3 linked regions of the Arabidopsis thaliana genome follow. The protein of the gene in region 2 interacts with the protein of the main gene of each other region in a pairwise test. Each region holds a gene or a part of one and is shown on either strand. Other genes may lie near its edges.

Evidence for each region.
Region 1: the proteins of SAUR20 (region 2) and AT5G02760 interact in binary tests that used the Arabidopsis thaliana proteins (3 or more experiments, as listed by UniProt).
Region 3: the proteins of SAUR20 (region 2) and AT3G17090 interact in binary tests that used the Arabidopsis thaliana proteins (3 or more experiments, as listed by UniProt).

What each region holds. Positions count from the first base shown.
Region 1 is NC_003076.8:623,723-627,668, reverse strand, and holds AT5G02760 (Protein phosphatase 2C family protein), read right to left. Parts: upstream 2,416-3,946; 5' UTR 2,293-2,415; coding exon 2,001-2,292; intron 1,926-2,000; coding exon 1,564-1,925; intron 1,407-1,563; coding exon 1,170-1,406; intron 1,074-1,169; coding exon 852-1,073; 3' UTR 545-851; downstream 1-544. UniProt on the Arabidopsis thaliana protein: Dephosphorylates and represses plasma membrane H(+)-ATPases (PM H(+)-ATPases, e.g. AHA1 and AHA2), thus influencing negatively plant growth and fitness. Promotes the apical hook maintenance of etiolated seedlings.
Region 2 is NC_003076.8:5,965,641-5,968,521, forward strand, and holds SAUR20 (SAUR-like auxin-responsive protein family), read right to left. Parts: upstream 1,038-2,881; 5' UTR 941-1,037; coding exon 665-940; 3' UTR 543-664; downstream 1-542. UniProt on the Arabidopsis thaliana protein: Functions as a positive effector of cell expansion through modulation of auxin transport.
Region 3 is NC_003074.8:5,824,634-5,830,406, forward strand, and holds AT3G17090 (Protein phosphatase 2C family protein), read left to right. Parts: upstream 1-1,952; 5' UTR 1,953-2,350; coding exon 2,351-2,678; intron 2,679-3,227; coding exon 3,228-3,595; intron 3,596-4,076; coding exon 4,077-4,313; coding exon of another isoform or gene 4,314-4,317; intron 4,318-4,472; coding exon 4,473-4,694; 3' UTR 4,695-5,267; downstream 5,268-5,773. Other genes in the region: AT3G17080 (Plant self-incompatibility protein S1 family), read left to right, coding at 706-1,110. UniProt on the Arabidopsis thaliana protein: Dephosphorylates and represses plasma membrane H(+)-ATPases (PM H(+)-ATPases, e.g. AHA1 and AHA2), thus influencing negatively plant growth and fitness. Promotes the apical hook maintenance of etiolated seedlings.

The sequences.
Region 1 (3,946 bases), 5.3 Mb from region 2:
GGTCCTTTTAGTATTGCATGTTCGTATCAAGCACAAGCACCAGCAATTGAAAATTTGTACTGCATGCAGCAAATATTTAAGTAAGGGAGACATTTTTTTACTGTTTTGAACTAGTTAGAAATTAGAAGTGTTGATTACTTTTGAGTTGTGCCTATTTTGCTAGTTTTTCTTAGTCTTGGTTACGAAATTTAGCTGGTCTACTGGTGTTCTGTGCTTGATTGCGAATATTGCATGCAAAATGGATCCCATAAACATGTGTCGTTCTTAGGTTACTTAATTTCATATGACCTCTCAAGCCGCTACTTCAGAATTTCTTTGTCATGTAAGACATCATTAGAACTATAGATGTACTTGTTGGTTTCCATATCTCTGGTCTCTATGGCAGTTGAAGGAAAGAGAGCCTCAGATTCTAAATTCTCTGTTCGTGGGACTGCGTTTTTGCTGGCTTCTGATGCTACACAGTTTCTTTGTTTCTGTAATAGATTTTAGATAAACTTTTGTTGATACTTGCTTTCTGTTAATTTTGAATGAAGCGCCAGAAAACTTTTATAAAGGGAATGTAATGTTAAGTTTCAACACATTTCTTGGCTATCTACTGTTTTGTGCCTAAACTCCAATATGTTGCAACGCTTTCGAATTTTACCAGCGTTGACATTGATGATATTGCATGCAAGTACCCTCGTGTATAATTTTGCATACAGGGGTACATGAGAATTCATGTTTTCTTGTGGAGAACATATCAAAGATCTCATAACTTAATATTGTTTCTAGCTATACTACTAGTTCTTTTCTTGACCCTGGCTCCAATTTATTGCCCTTGACACAGGAAGTGTTTTTGCCGTAAGATCTGTTCATGATGTTGAATGCATCGGGTATCCCCCTCTAATTGACAGAGGTGAAGCCCAAGAATTGGTTTTGACCGGGTGGGGGTTGAGATAGACCACAATAACGGTTATATCGTCGTGGAAATGCCTTCTTACACCAGGATGGATCTCTGTTAGGTCTGAGTATCTCATCTCTCTTTTCTTTGCTGCTTCCTTCAATGCAGCTTTAAGTAGTCTCCTTGCTATTCCCTGTGATTGTGAAGGTATTAGTATTAACGAATAGTTCTTGGTGTGCATTGTGCTAGTATGTAACGTATTTGTATATGGGTTAGGCATTGAACTTACTTGTCGAGGGGAATTATGCACAATATCAACAGCTTCCTGGTTGCTAAGATGCTCCCAAAGCCCATCTGAAGCAAGAATTATAAACTCATCTTGTGGGCTAAGCCGCGTAATGGTGACTGATGGATCCGCACTAAGGATTGGCTTAGTGAAATGTTCTGGTAGTCTGAATTTGGGCAGCAAAGGTTCTCTGTTGAACTCTGCTCTTTTGAGGTATGCATCACCTATGGATCTTGTGACCTGGTTAAAGGTCATAACACATTTGCTAGTCAGTTTTACATCCTTACACAAGATAGGCTTCAATATATGATTTTCTTAAGCTTTTGTATTTCATAGAAACTGATGAAGCAAAACTCTGTGCAGGTTATCAGATGCGTTATCATGTATGAATGTTTACCTGGATAACGCCTTTCACACGCCACAAGCGGTGCTTCATCACAAGAATGGTGGGGTCATTAGGATGCAATGACCATAGCTCTTGCCTCGCAGACTCAAGATTGGCATTGTGCTCTACAGATAACTGAACAGCTCTCACTCCACCTCTCTCAGATCTGCCCAACACAGCTCTGGAATCTCCCGTGTTTGCAATATACACCAATCCGTTGCATATCACTCCTGCCAAGCAACATGACCCCACTGATGCCATCTGTGGGTTCGTAGGCCATTGCTTCGTCACTGTCTTGAGAAAATCTTTGTCTGTCTCGGCAAATGCTTTGCTGATCACCTGCTCTGAAATCTCCCTACCCTCGGACGCAAACTCTGTTCATGTGAGACCAGTGTTAGTGTGCCTGGCAGATTCAACAATAAAGGAAATAAAAAAAGTCGGTGTCTTACTCTTTAACTTGGGGAAGATGTTGTCTGCAATGAATCTGGAAGCCTCTGGACCTCCATGGCCATCGTAAACTCCAACAAATGTGCCTTGAACTGTCGGATTGTTGAATGTAAGCGGCCCTGATTCGATCTGGCACTGATCCTCCATCACACTGTTGGCTTGGATCATTGCCATGGAAAACTCTCCAAAGGTGTGAAGACCAAGATCTTTGTACCATGTCAAACCATCAACCTTTGTGGGATTGATCTTACTTCTCTCCATACCGGCACCTATTCTCCAACAGGGTTTAACCATCTTTCTCAGGTATGTAATCTTCGAGCAATATCGTAATATAAACAGAGAAGAACTCTATATAGAATAAATTGATGGAATAATGATAAACTAGTAGTAGCAGTGCTGGTTGTGAATTATGAGATACAAGTTTAAGGAAGGGACCATATATATATAGCCGTGGAAGCCCTAGAGTAAGTGTGAAGGTGTTGGAAAGCAGGGAAAGAGGCCAAAAAGGGTATGGGTCAAAATAACTGAAAAATTAAATGGTTCTGAGAGTTAAGACAAGAGGGCAGTAGTTTAAAGTGGATATTCAGAGATTCTCCTCTTTACTGTTCGATGATGATTCTCTGTCTTAGTAGGGCTGTCATATTCTTTTCTACTCTCTCCTATATTTATAACATCATGTAGTTATTATTGCGTTAAAAGTGTCTCTCCTTTCTTAGAGGTTAATAATCTTGTAAAAACTTAGGAAGCAAGAATGTTCTCATTATATGATTAATGACTTCTTAGAGGTAACAATATCTCATGTAAACGTCTGTTTTCACATTGGTTGTGTGTTAGTGTCTTTATTAACTCATCTTGTAAATGAGTTTTTGGCTTTTGTTTGCAAAGTGGTAATTTGTGGGAAGAAAATGGATAGAAAAGGAAAGGTCATAGGATGCATGTGTGGGCGTGGGTTTTGGGAGCATTGAACTTGGAACCATTTAAAGATTTGAGAGCTGAGAAAGACTGAAGAGAGAGGAGAGAAGACATTTGTGGGGCGACTGAGGAACACTCTTAGCTGTCTTAACCCCTACAGGTCTTTGCCCTTTTCTCAGTCTCTCGTCTTTCTTTTTTTTACCTTTTTCTTTAATGTTATCAAAAGCTGATCTCTTACTTGTTGTGAGATTCAGATCGAAATTCATGTCATGGATAATTATGGGGCTGAAATGAATTTTCAAAGAGGATGGATCTTTTTGGTACTTTTGCTAAGTTCCATTTTGCATGACCCCTCATTGGCCTTCCTCTGTCCCTCCTCGTTTTTTCTGTTCATAAGGATCCACCGATTTGATGCTACTGTAGAGAGAACCACTGTCGTGTGTTGATAGACCAATTTCATCAACGAGATTGTTTAAATTTCTATATGTTATCTAATGCATATGTCGAAGTTAGATCGAGTTTTCGTTTTTCGTCTATCTTTTTGTTGTGCTTCGAAGTTAAGAATTCAACAAGTGGGTTACACAACTTCCACTTCCACTTGTTTTTTTTAATGATAATAATCTCTTGAGACAAAAACATGTTAGGCTCCCTAATTCGATCTTTTAAAACAAGAAAAAACACACACACAATGATTTATAGTGGTTTACTTTAAATATCAAAATTACGTTATCCTTTTGTTTTTGTTTCTTCTAGCTCACGAGTCACAAACAATGAGAAATGATAACAATGATTCAAATAAGGAATACAAGTGGATCCGCAACTTAGGCTCCACAAATATAATAAACGGATTAAAAGATACCAAAAAAAGAATTTTCGTATTGGATGCATATAATTTAGGTTTAACCAATTGTTATATTGATATTGGATTTACTTCTACTTGCTTATTAATTTTGTTGAAAGGTCTTTCATTCATTTCTTATATTTGGTTTCGCATATGACGGTTCCACTAGTTCGATAAGGCCAACCTCATCAATTG
Region 2 (2,881 bases):
TTTGGGAAAACATCTAAATCATTGAGTGGACCAAATCCAAATCCCTTGAGTTTCCTACAATTCCTTTAAACTTAGTTTCTCTTATACTGTTTCTCTTCAGATCAAAATACACAACATGGCGTAGAAGCTTCGTGCCAAGGAAGCAGCATTTTGGGTTAAGAAGATTCCTATGATCCCTCCCGTTTTCTCTTTCTTTGAATCCATGGCGGATCGCAAACACACTTTTACTTTCTTCAAACCCTAAACAGTTGTGTTTAGTTTATCGAATGAAAGCGAAGGGCAAAGTCTGGATTTTTTTAAAAAGAATATCCGGAGTAAAGTTCGGGGAATTGAACCCGACGTGAATCGAACACGCAACCTTCTGATCTGGAGTCAGACGCGCTACCATTGCGCCACGGATCCGGATGTTATATGTTCCACTTAATTGTACTTAATCAACATGAAACTATCATTAGAGTAGTTCCAATTGGTTTGGTCATTGGTGTTATCTTTTCATTTTTCAATGAAAGATCAAAAATGTATTGACATGAATCGTTTCTGTTGCATAAAGATGGCATTTACTCTCTAAACTTTTAGAACAACTCTTTCAAGAAGAAAGAGAAAAAAGCTCATGTATTTACAATGAATAAGTCTATTTCTAACTAGGAAGAAAAATGTTGGCTCATCATCGTTGGAACCGAGAAGTCACATTGATGAATGTATCTTCAGGACAGGGGATCGTTAAGCCACCCATTGGATGATCGAATCCAAACTCTTCCTCGGATTTACTGAGAAGAGCTTGAAATGAAGGCTGGTTTAAATATGAGATTGGCACCAGATATCTCTTCTTTTGGCTCTCACCTACGTACACTGCAAGAAACCCTTTTGGTGCCGCCGAGGCTGCTGTGGTGGAGCGGCTTAGAATCTTCTTTGCTCCCAATAGACTTCTCACAAAAGCCATATCTATTGTTTTTGTTTCGAATATTAAATTCTTTAAAATCTTCTGAAGATGTATGAAAAGATTCAAGTTATTGGATTGCTTGTTGTTTGTTGATGATTGAAAGAATGGGTTTATGAGTGTATATATAGAAAGATCAACTACTAATGAGTTGAAACCTCTCTGAAAAAATCATTGAAACTTGTGGTCTTGAAGTGTTGGACAGACTAGAACAGAGAACATGGTTCTGTCTCTACCATTTGGAAAAGATGCATTAATGCAGTTTGTCTTGATGAGATAATTAATTGATTGTGGGACATTAAACTAAAAACAAAATCCATATGCAATTCACAAGGGACTGTTTTCTCAATGTTTTTAGATAAAAGACCAGCAAGTTTCTCTTCTCCATGTTCTGTGATGATCCTATTTTTGATTCTCTGTGGTCTAAATGGATTTAATAACAACTTAAAAGTGGGGACCTGAAGTTTCTCAACAACAGAACAACATGTCTCCATCACTCTTTAAGCTGTTCCTTTTTTATGATATACACAAATAGAACCACACACGAAAATCAAGTAAAAGAATAAAGAAAACATCATCAAAATATATACCCCTTTAGTTTTCTTGCAACAGTATTACAGTAATGAGATCCTCCATGCCTTGCTTGTCTTTGAAGCAACTTAAGTACCTAAGTGTAAACATCGGTGAGAAAATCACTATGATGTTAGCCTTAAGGTCAAGATCAAGAATCTTCATTATTTTAAGCAAATCCTCTTGGTGATAAGGAATGTATTTACACATTATATCTATGACAGCAAGATGAAGTATTTACATTGAATAATCTATCTCTCACTAACTACTGTTAGTTATTCCTTCTTGCGGAACATCTTCATTGAAGCTGAGAAGTCAGATCGATGAAGGTATCTTCAGGACAATGGATTTTTAAGCTAGCCACCCATTGGATGATCGAATCCAAGCTCTTCCTTGGAATTACGGTGAAGAGCTTGAAATGAAGGCTGGTTTAAATATAAGACTGGCACCAAATATCTTTTCTTTTAGACCTGGTCTTCGCCAACGTACACCGCAAGAAACCCCCTTGATGCTGAAACTGGCCTTTTGCTTGTAGCCTCTATAGAAAATCTGATAATTTTCTTTGCACCCAAAAGACCTCTGAACAAAAACATTTCTTGTGTTTGGAAAATCTAAATTTGAAGCTTTAGAGAAAAACCTAGATGCTCAGATTCAAGCTTCGGATTGAATAGTTAGTTCTATCTTTAGATGTATAAATAGATTGATGGACTTCAAACCAACATGGAACATACACAAACAGAGTTACGTTTCACATGATTCTGTTTTCTCCATATTTTTATAATAAATGCAGAGAAGAAAGGAGATATTCAATCCTTTACTTGTAACTGTCATGTGTGGTCCTCCTATTTGAGGATATCAAAAAAGAACAACTTAACCCTAGACAAAGACTTGTTGTTCTATTGTTGAGCTACTTCAGGTCCCAATTTTAAGTTCTTATTAAATTGCACCACAGACATGAGGTAATATGATCATCACAGAACATGAAGGAAAGAAACTTGCTGGGCCTTCTTATTGACAATAGCATGTCTTATCTTAAAAACATTGAGGAAACAGTCCCTTGTGCATATGGAGTTAGTTTTTCGTTTATTGGCCCAAACTCAATTAATTATGTCATCAAGACAAATTTCATTAATGCTTCTTTTCTAGATTGTAAAGACAGAACCATGTGAGCTCTGTTCTAGTCTGTCCCACGCTTCAAGACCACAAGTTTCAATGATTTTTTCAAAGAGGTTTTAACTCCTTCATTGATCTTTCTATATATACACACATAAACACATTCGTTCTATCATCAACCAACAACAAGCAATATATCCAATAACTTGAATCTTTTCATCCATCTTAATAAGCTTCAAAAACCTTTTCGTACAAAAATAA
Region 3 (5,773 bases), on a different chromosome or scaffold from region 2:
GAAGAGTAGAATAGAGAGATACACATTAGCATATGTAATGTAATAGTTTAAGTGACATTTACATTTGATGTAAAACAGATTTATTTAATATATGGAACTTTGATTCAGAGTTTCTTTTGAAATTTGAGTTATATATATAGAGAGAGACTATTAATCAGCATACAAACAATATATAATTTTTAACAGAAACAATTAAAGATAAAAACTATATACACGTCGGTTTACAAATGACTCAAAAGAATAAGATTTACACGACAGAACTTAACCGATGTTAAGATTACTAAAACCGACGCAAACGTTTCGACGTATAAGTAAGCGTCATTTCCTAAAGTTAAGTTAATTATATTAACGTCATGCAATGTTACGACGGTTTTTAAACCGACGCTATTATGTTAAAGTCAGTTTGAAAATGACGTTAAAGTCAATAATGACCGACGTCAAATACCGTTTCTCTTGTAGCGATCATAATTTGGAAAGTGTTGATCATATAACAACATATACTTGGATATTTTTTTTAAAAAAAGTTAGTGTCAAAACAAACATGGATCATAATTTGGAAAGTGTTGACTTAAGATGTTACCTTTTTTTTTGTGCAAAAAGATGTTACCTATACAGTATAAATACTGAACAAGTTTGATTGAAATAGTTATCAACATATACTTGGATATTTTCCAGGATTAAAAAAAAAAAAAGTTTAGACGAATTATGGGTTCTCTTGAGACATGCTTACTTTTCTTTGTAATGGTTATGTTTATGAGTGCAATTATGTCTCGAGCCTCGACGAGTGTAGTGATTTATAATGATCTTGGAGGTGGTTTGCCACTACGGCACCACTGCAAATCAAGAGAGGATGATCTTGGATACCAGAGTTTAGCACCAGGTAGATCGTGGTCGTTTGGATTTACACCGGATATTTTTGGCCGGACTTTGTTTTACTGTCGTTTTAGTTGGGGAGCTGAGAGTCATATATTTGATATCTACAAACAGAGTAGAGACAAAGAATTTCAAGAGTTTGGTTGCAAAAAATGCGAATGGAAAATACGGAAAAATGGACCTTGCAAGTTTTATAAGAAGACCGGCATGTTTGATCATTGCTATTCTTGGGATTAATATCCTTATTTTATAAAACATGTCGTAACTATCAATCTATGTCTGTCTACTTCTTCTTCTACCTTTTTTTTTCTTTTTTGTATGAGGTAATTGTGTCTTAATATGATATTTTATGGTTTGACCTACAATTCGTTTTCTTTTTTTTTTACTTGTTAATGACACAATTATAGTCAAATAATTTTAGAGCGAAGTAACAAAACATTATAAGAATATAATGTGAACTACAATGAGCTTTTCTTTTATGCTTAACGTTCATTTTTTAACAAAAAAAAAGAATTATAAATAAATAGAGAACAAGTGTTGATCGAAAGAACAACTATGTAAATTATACATTTGTGCTTAACTAAACGCATATCGATTAGAGTCCCATTTCATGACCCCGAAACTCAATGAGTCAAACGTAGTGCACAATCTAGTGTAATTTAAAACCAGAAAAAAAAAAAAACTAGTATAATTCGACATAACCAAATGGCATAGTTAAACGCATGTTGGTGAATGGAGGAAACTAAACCCGCGTGGGAAGGCTTTTCTCGAGTAGTGGAAGTGAAATATTATCTTAAAACATATACTTTCAATGACATAAATTGGTGAAGATTTACTCCCATAAGTGAAATGCATTACATCTAGAAACTTATCTCTTTTATATTTATTTCCGATTTAGCAAAAGAAGTAAGTAGAAAGTCTATTGAGTCAAACCCAAATTTTAAAAAAAATAATGCAAAGAACTTGCATATAAATATTTTACATTATAATTTGTATTAAATTTTGATTTAGTAAACATATATAACAAAATTTTCATCTTTCTTTTAATAATATAGTTTTTAGTTTGTTAGATTTTTTTTTTTTAATTTGGGCAACACAACAGTTGTGTAATAGTATAGGCAAAGAAAATGGTCGGACAGCTAAGGGAAGATCGCTCTCTCCTCATCAGACAAAAAATTACAAGCGAGAATTTCTTTGTTCCTTTACGACCGGACAAGACACGTCCGTCATCGTCTTCTACTACTTTCTATCTTACGCCTCTCCCCTTATCCTACGCCAAAACATCTTATCCTGCGCATCATCCCTTCCATTAAGACCTAGGGTTTTCTCTCTCTCCCATCATTCTCTTCTCCCGATCTCATTTCCATTACCCAATCCCGCTCCTTTTCTCTGATTTTGAATCGAACCCTTAATACCCAGAAATCTCACGGTTCCGAGGAGTGGGTTTTTGGGGGTTAGGGTTTTCGAGAGATGTTGAATGTCAGGTTCATTGATGAATCTGTTTTCTCTCTGCTTCAAGCCATTCGGGCACGTCTGTGATAATTCCGAAGCTGGATCGGGTGGTGGTGGTGGCGTTTCTGGTGGAACCGGCGGTGAAGGCAAAGACGGATTGCTTTGGTTCCGTGATCTCGGTAAATATTGCGGCGGAGATTTCTCCATGGCTGTGATTCAAGCCAATCAGGTTCTTGAAGATCAGAGCCAGGTCGAATCCGGTAATTTTGGGACTTTTGTTGGTGTTTACGATGGTCATGGTGGTCCTGAAGCTGCTCGTTATGTCTGTGATCATCTCTTTAACCATTTTCGAGGTTCGTAATCCGATTCTTCATTGACACAGTGATTCGTCATTTTGACATTCGAGCTTGAGTGTTTTGAATTGGTTTTTTGGGGAAATACATATTTTAGATGAATCCGTTGACTTAATTCTGAACTTTTTGTTCAAATCTTGGTGATGAAGATGGTGATTGGTCAACAAAGTTAGGTACTTTGACTTTTTAATCTCGTTGGGGTATAATTAGGTTCCCATTAAGCTAAATGCAAGTTTAGAGCTACAGTCTTTGCATTTAAAAACTGTGTTTATTGACTTCAGAAATAGTAAAACTTTAGATATGAGTATGCTCTTTGATATATAGGAGTATTTGTAATGCAGTTTGATATATAGGAGGACTCTTTGCATTTCGCATTCCTGGTTCTTTGAGATTGTTCTTTGCCATTTAGATAAGGGTCCCTGGCTTTTGCATTGATGGTGGAGTGTCATGAATATTACCAGGCTTAAGCAAACTAGGAGTGCACTGTAATTATGAAAGGAGGTTGAGCCTCTCTTATGTTTTGATTGCTCAGGCTTTATGGTTATGCAGAAATATCAGCGGAAACACAAGGAGTTGTGACGAGAGAGACGATAGAAAGAGCCTTTCATGCGACAGAAGAAGGATTCGCTTCCATTGTGTCAGAGCTGTGGCAAGAAATACCAAATTTGGCAACTGTTGGCACTTGTTGTTTGGTTGGAGTGATATATCAAAATACTCTTTTTGTGGCAAGTCTTGGAGATTCACGGGTTGTTCTTGGAAAGAAAGGCAACTGTGGCGGACTCTCTGCTATTCAGCTGTCGACTGAACACAATGCTAACAATGAAGATATTCGTTGGGAACTCAAGGACTTACATCCTGATGACCCGCAGATCGTTGTGTTCAGGCATGGAGTTTGGAGAGTTAAGGGCATCATTCAGGTAGTTTCTCATTCTCCTGCCATCCCTTGTGATGTTAATTTTCCAAAAGAAAAATGTAAAATTAGTCACTTAGACATAACTAGGTTCCTTGTTGTGTTAACTCTCTTTGGTTTCGCAAACTTTGACATATCTACCTTATGCTTGTTTCGGAAGAGCTAAATCATTTTTCTTCTCTCTTTTTTAGTCTTTGAGCGGTTTGGCCTTTCTTATAAGCTATAGAAAAGTTCATTAGAGGTCTGAGAAGTACAAATCTTTAAAAAGTTTTGAGAATTAGCAAGTAATGAGGTAGTGCATAAGCAGAATTAGCAAGTAATGGGTTTCTGATGAACTCCATACATATGTACTGAACAAGCTAAATATATGTCTTACGCTCTTTGTGATGTCTAGTTACCAATAATTAATCATCTCTACCATGCAGCTCTTAAGACTTTCTGATGATTCCCTGTATTTACTGTTCAACTTTGATTCGCTGTTTATATAGGTATCGAGGTCTATAGGAGACATGTACATGAAACGGCCCGAATTTAACAAGGAGCCAATCAGTCAAAAGTTCAGAATTGCAGAGCCAATGAAAAGACCCTTGATGTCTGCAACACCAACAATACTCTCTCATCCTCTGCACCCTAATGATTCGTTTCTCATTTTTGCATCTGATGGTCTTTGGGAGCATTTGACTAACGAAAAAGCAGTTGAGATTGTTCATAACCATCCCCGTGCTGTAAGTTTCTACTTTGATTTCTCTCTTAGATGGCGTTTTTGGTCTAGATAAGTTTTAGATTGCAGTTTTAAGCGAGTCAAGTCACAAGAATCCTCATTATTACAAATTCGTTAAATATATAAATGATTTCTTGCATTGTGTGTTTCTCTCTATGTTCAGGGAAGCGCAAAGAGACTGATAAAGGCGGCTCTTCACGAGGCAGCGAGGAAACGTGAGATGAGATATTCAGATCTAAGGAAGATTGACAAGAAAGTGAGACGACATTTTCATGATGACATCACGGTTATAGTGGTGTTCTTGAACCATGACCTCATATCGAGAGGCCACATCAACTCAACCCAAGACACAACAGTCTCTATACGGAGTGCTCTTGAACACTGAGAATCCCAAACATTTTACAACAATGTTTCTTCTTACTTGATTATATGACTTTTGCCTAGAATGAATAAAAAAAAGGCAACATATGGAAAAAACCAAAAATGAAAAAAACAACATCATTATCGTACGTAATGAGTTCTCTCTTGTATTAAGCGGCTATGTTTGACTTTTGGTGTTTCTCTTCAAAGTTCTGATGAGTTCCAAGTCTTTTACTTCTTGCCGTTCGTCAAAAGTATGTAATGTAACATAGCCGTGTAACCATACTATTCTCGAATGTAACATCAAGTCTCTAATCAAAATTGTTTTGGTAACTTATAATTATTCTTCATTCCCGAACAGTGGTTATTCTTCAACATTTCTAGGTTTAACTTTATTGATCAAAAAAGATTTTAAGATGCTCTTGGATTACTGTTTCGATATTTATGTGCCACAGTTGTCAACTCTTCATACTATCTCAAATTTGCGGTTTCGGTGAAATACTTAATTTTCGTACGGATTTGATTTGGAGAACAAAGTCGTGGAGCAACGTTTGGCTTCAACATTTTACTTATGCAAGACTTAAATGTTAGTTCTGATTAAATGGATTCATGGACCTTTTCTAAAAAATATCAAATACAATTCCATAAATCTATAAAGTTCTTGTTAATACTAAAACCTTTGAGAGTACTAATGAAAGAAAAATCAGATTAAGCTTTCTAGGCTGCATTATGCATCAAAAAGAAGTTGAATGTCAATCAACAACTCAGAGCCCAGTGCATATTCATCATCTTTTCCTTCTTAGACCCTCAACAATTATTCTAGCCAGATAAAAAAATTGAAACAGATACAAAAAATTATAAGGATCCTCAGAGTAAAAATGCTTATAGCTTTTCATCAATAAAAAATCAGGTCTCAAAGATTTCATGCCATCATAGGATCCTTCAATAAGCTTTTTTAAAAAAGAAACGATAACTGATTAGGATATAGCACGAGCTTATTCGCTATGCCTGGTTAAACATAGACGAAGCGACTCAACGCCCCTGCAATAATCTATCGCCTCACGAATAAAATCGATGAAAGAATCATCCCGTAGATATTGAATA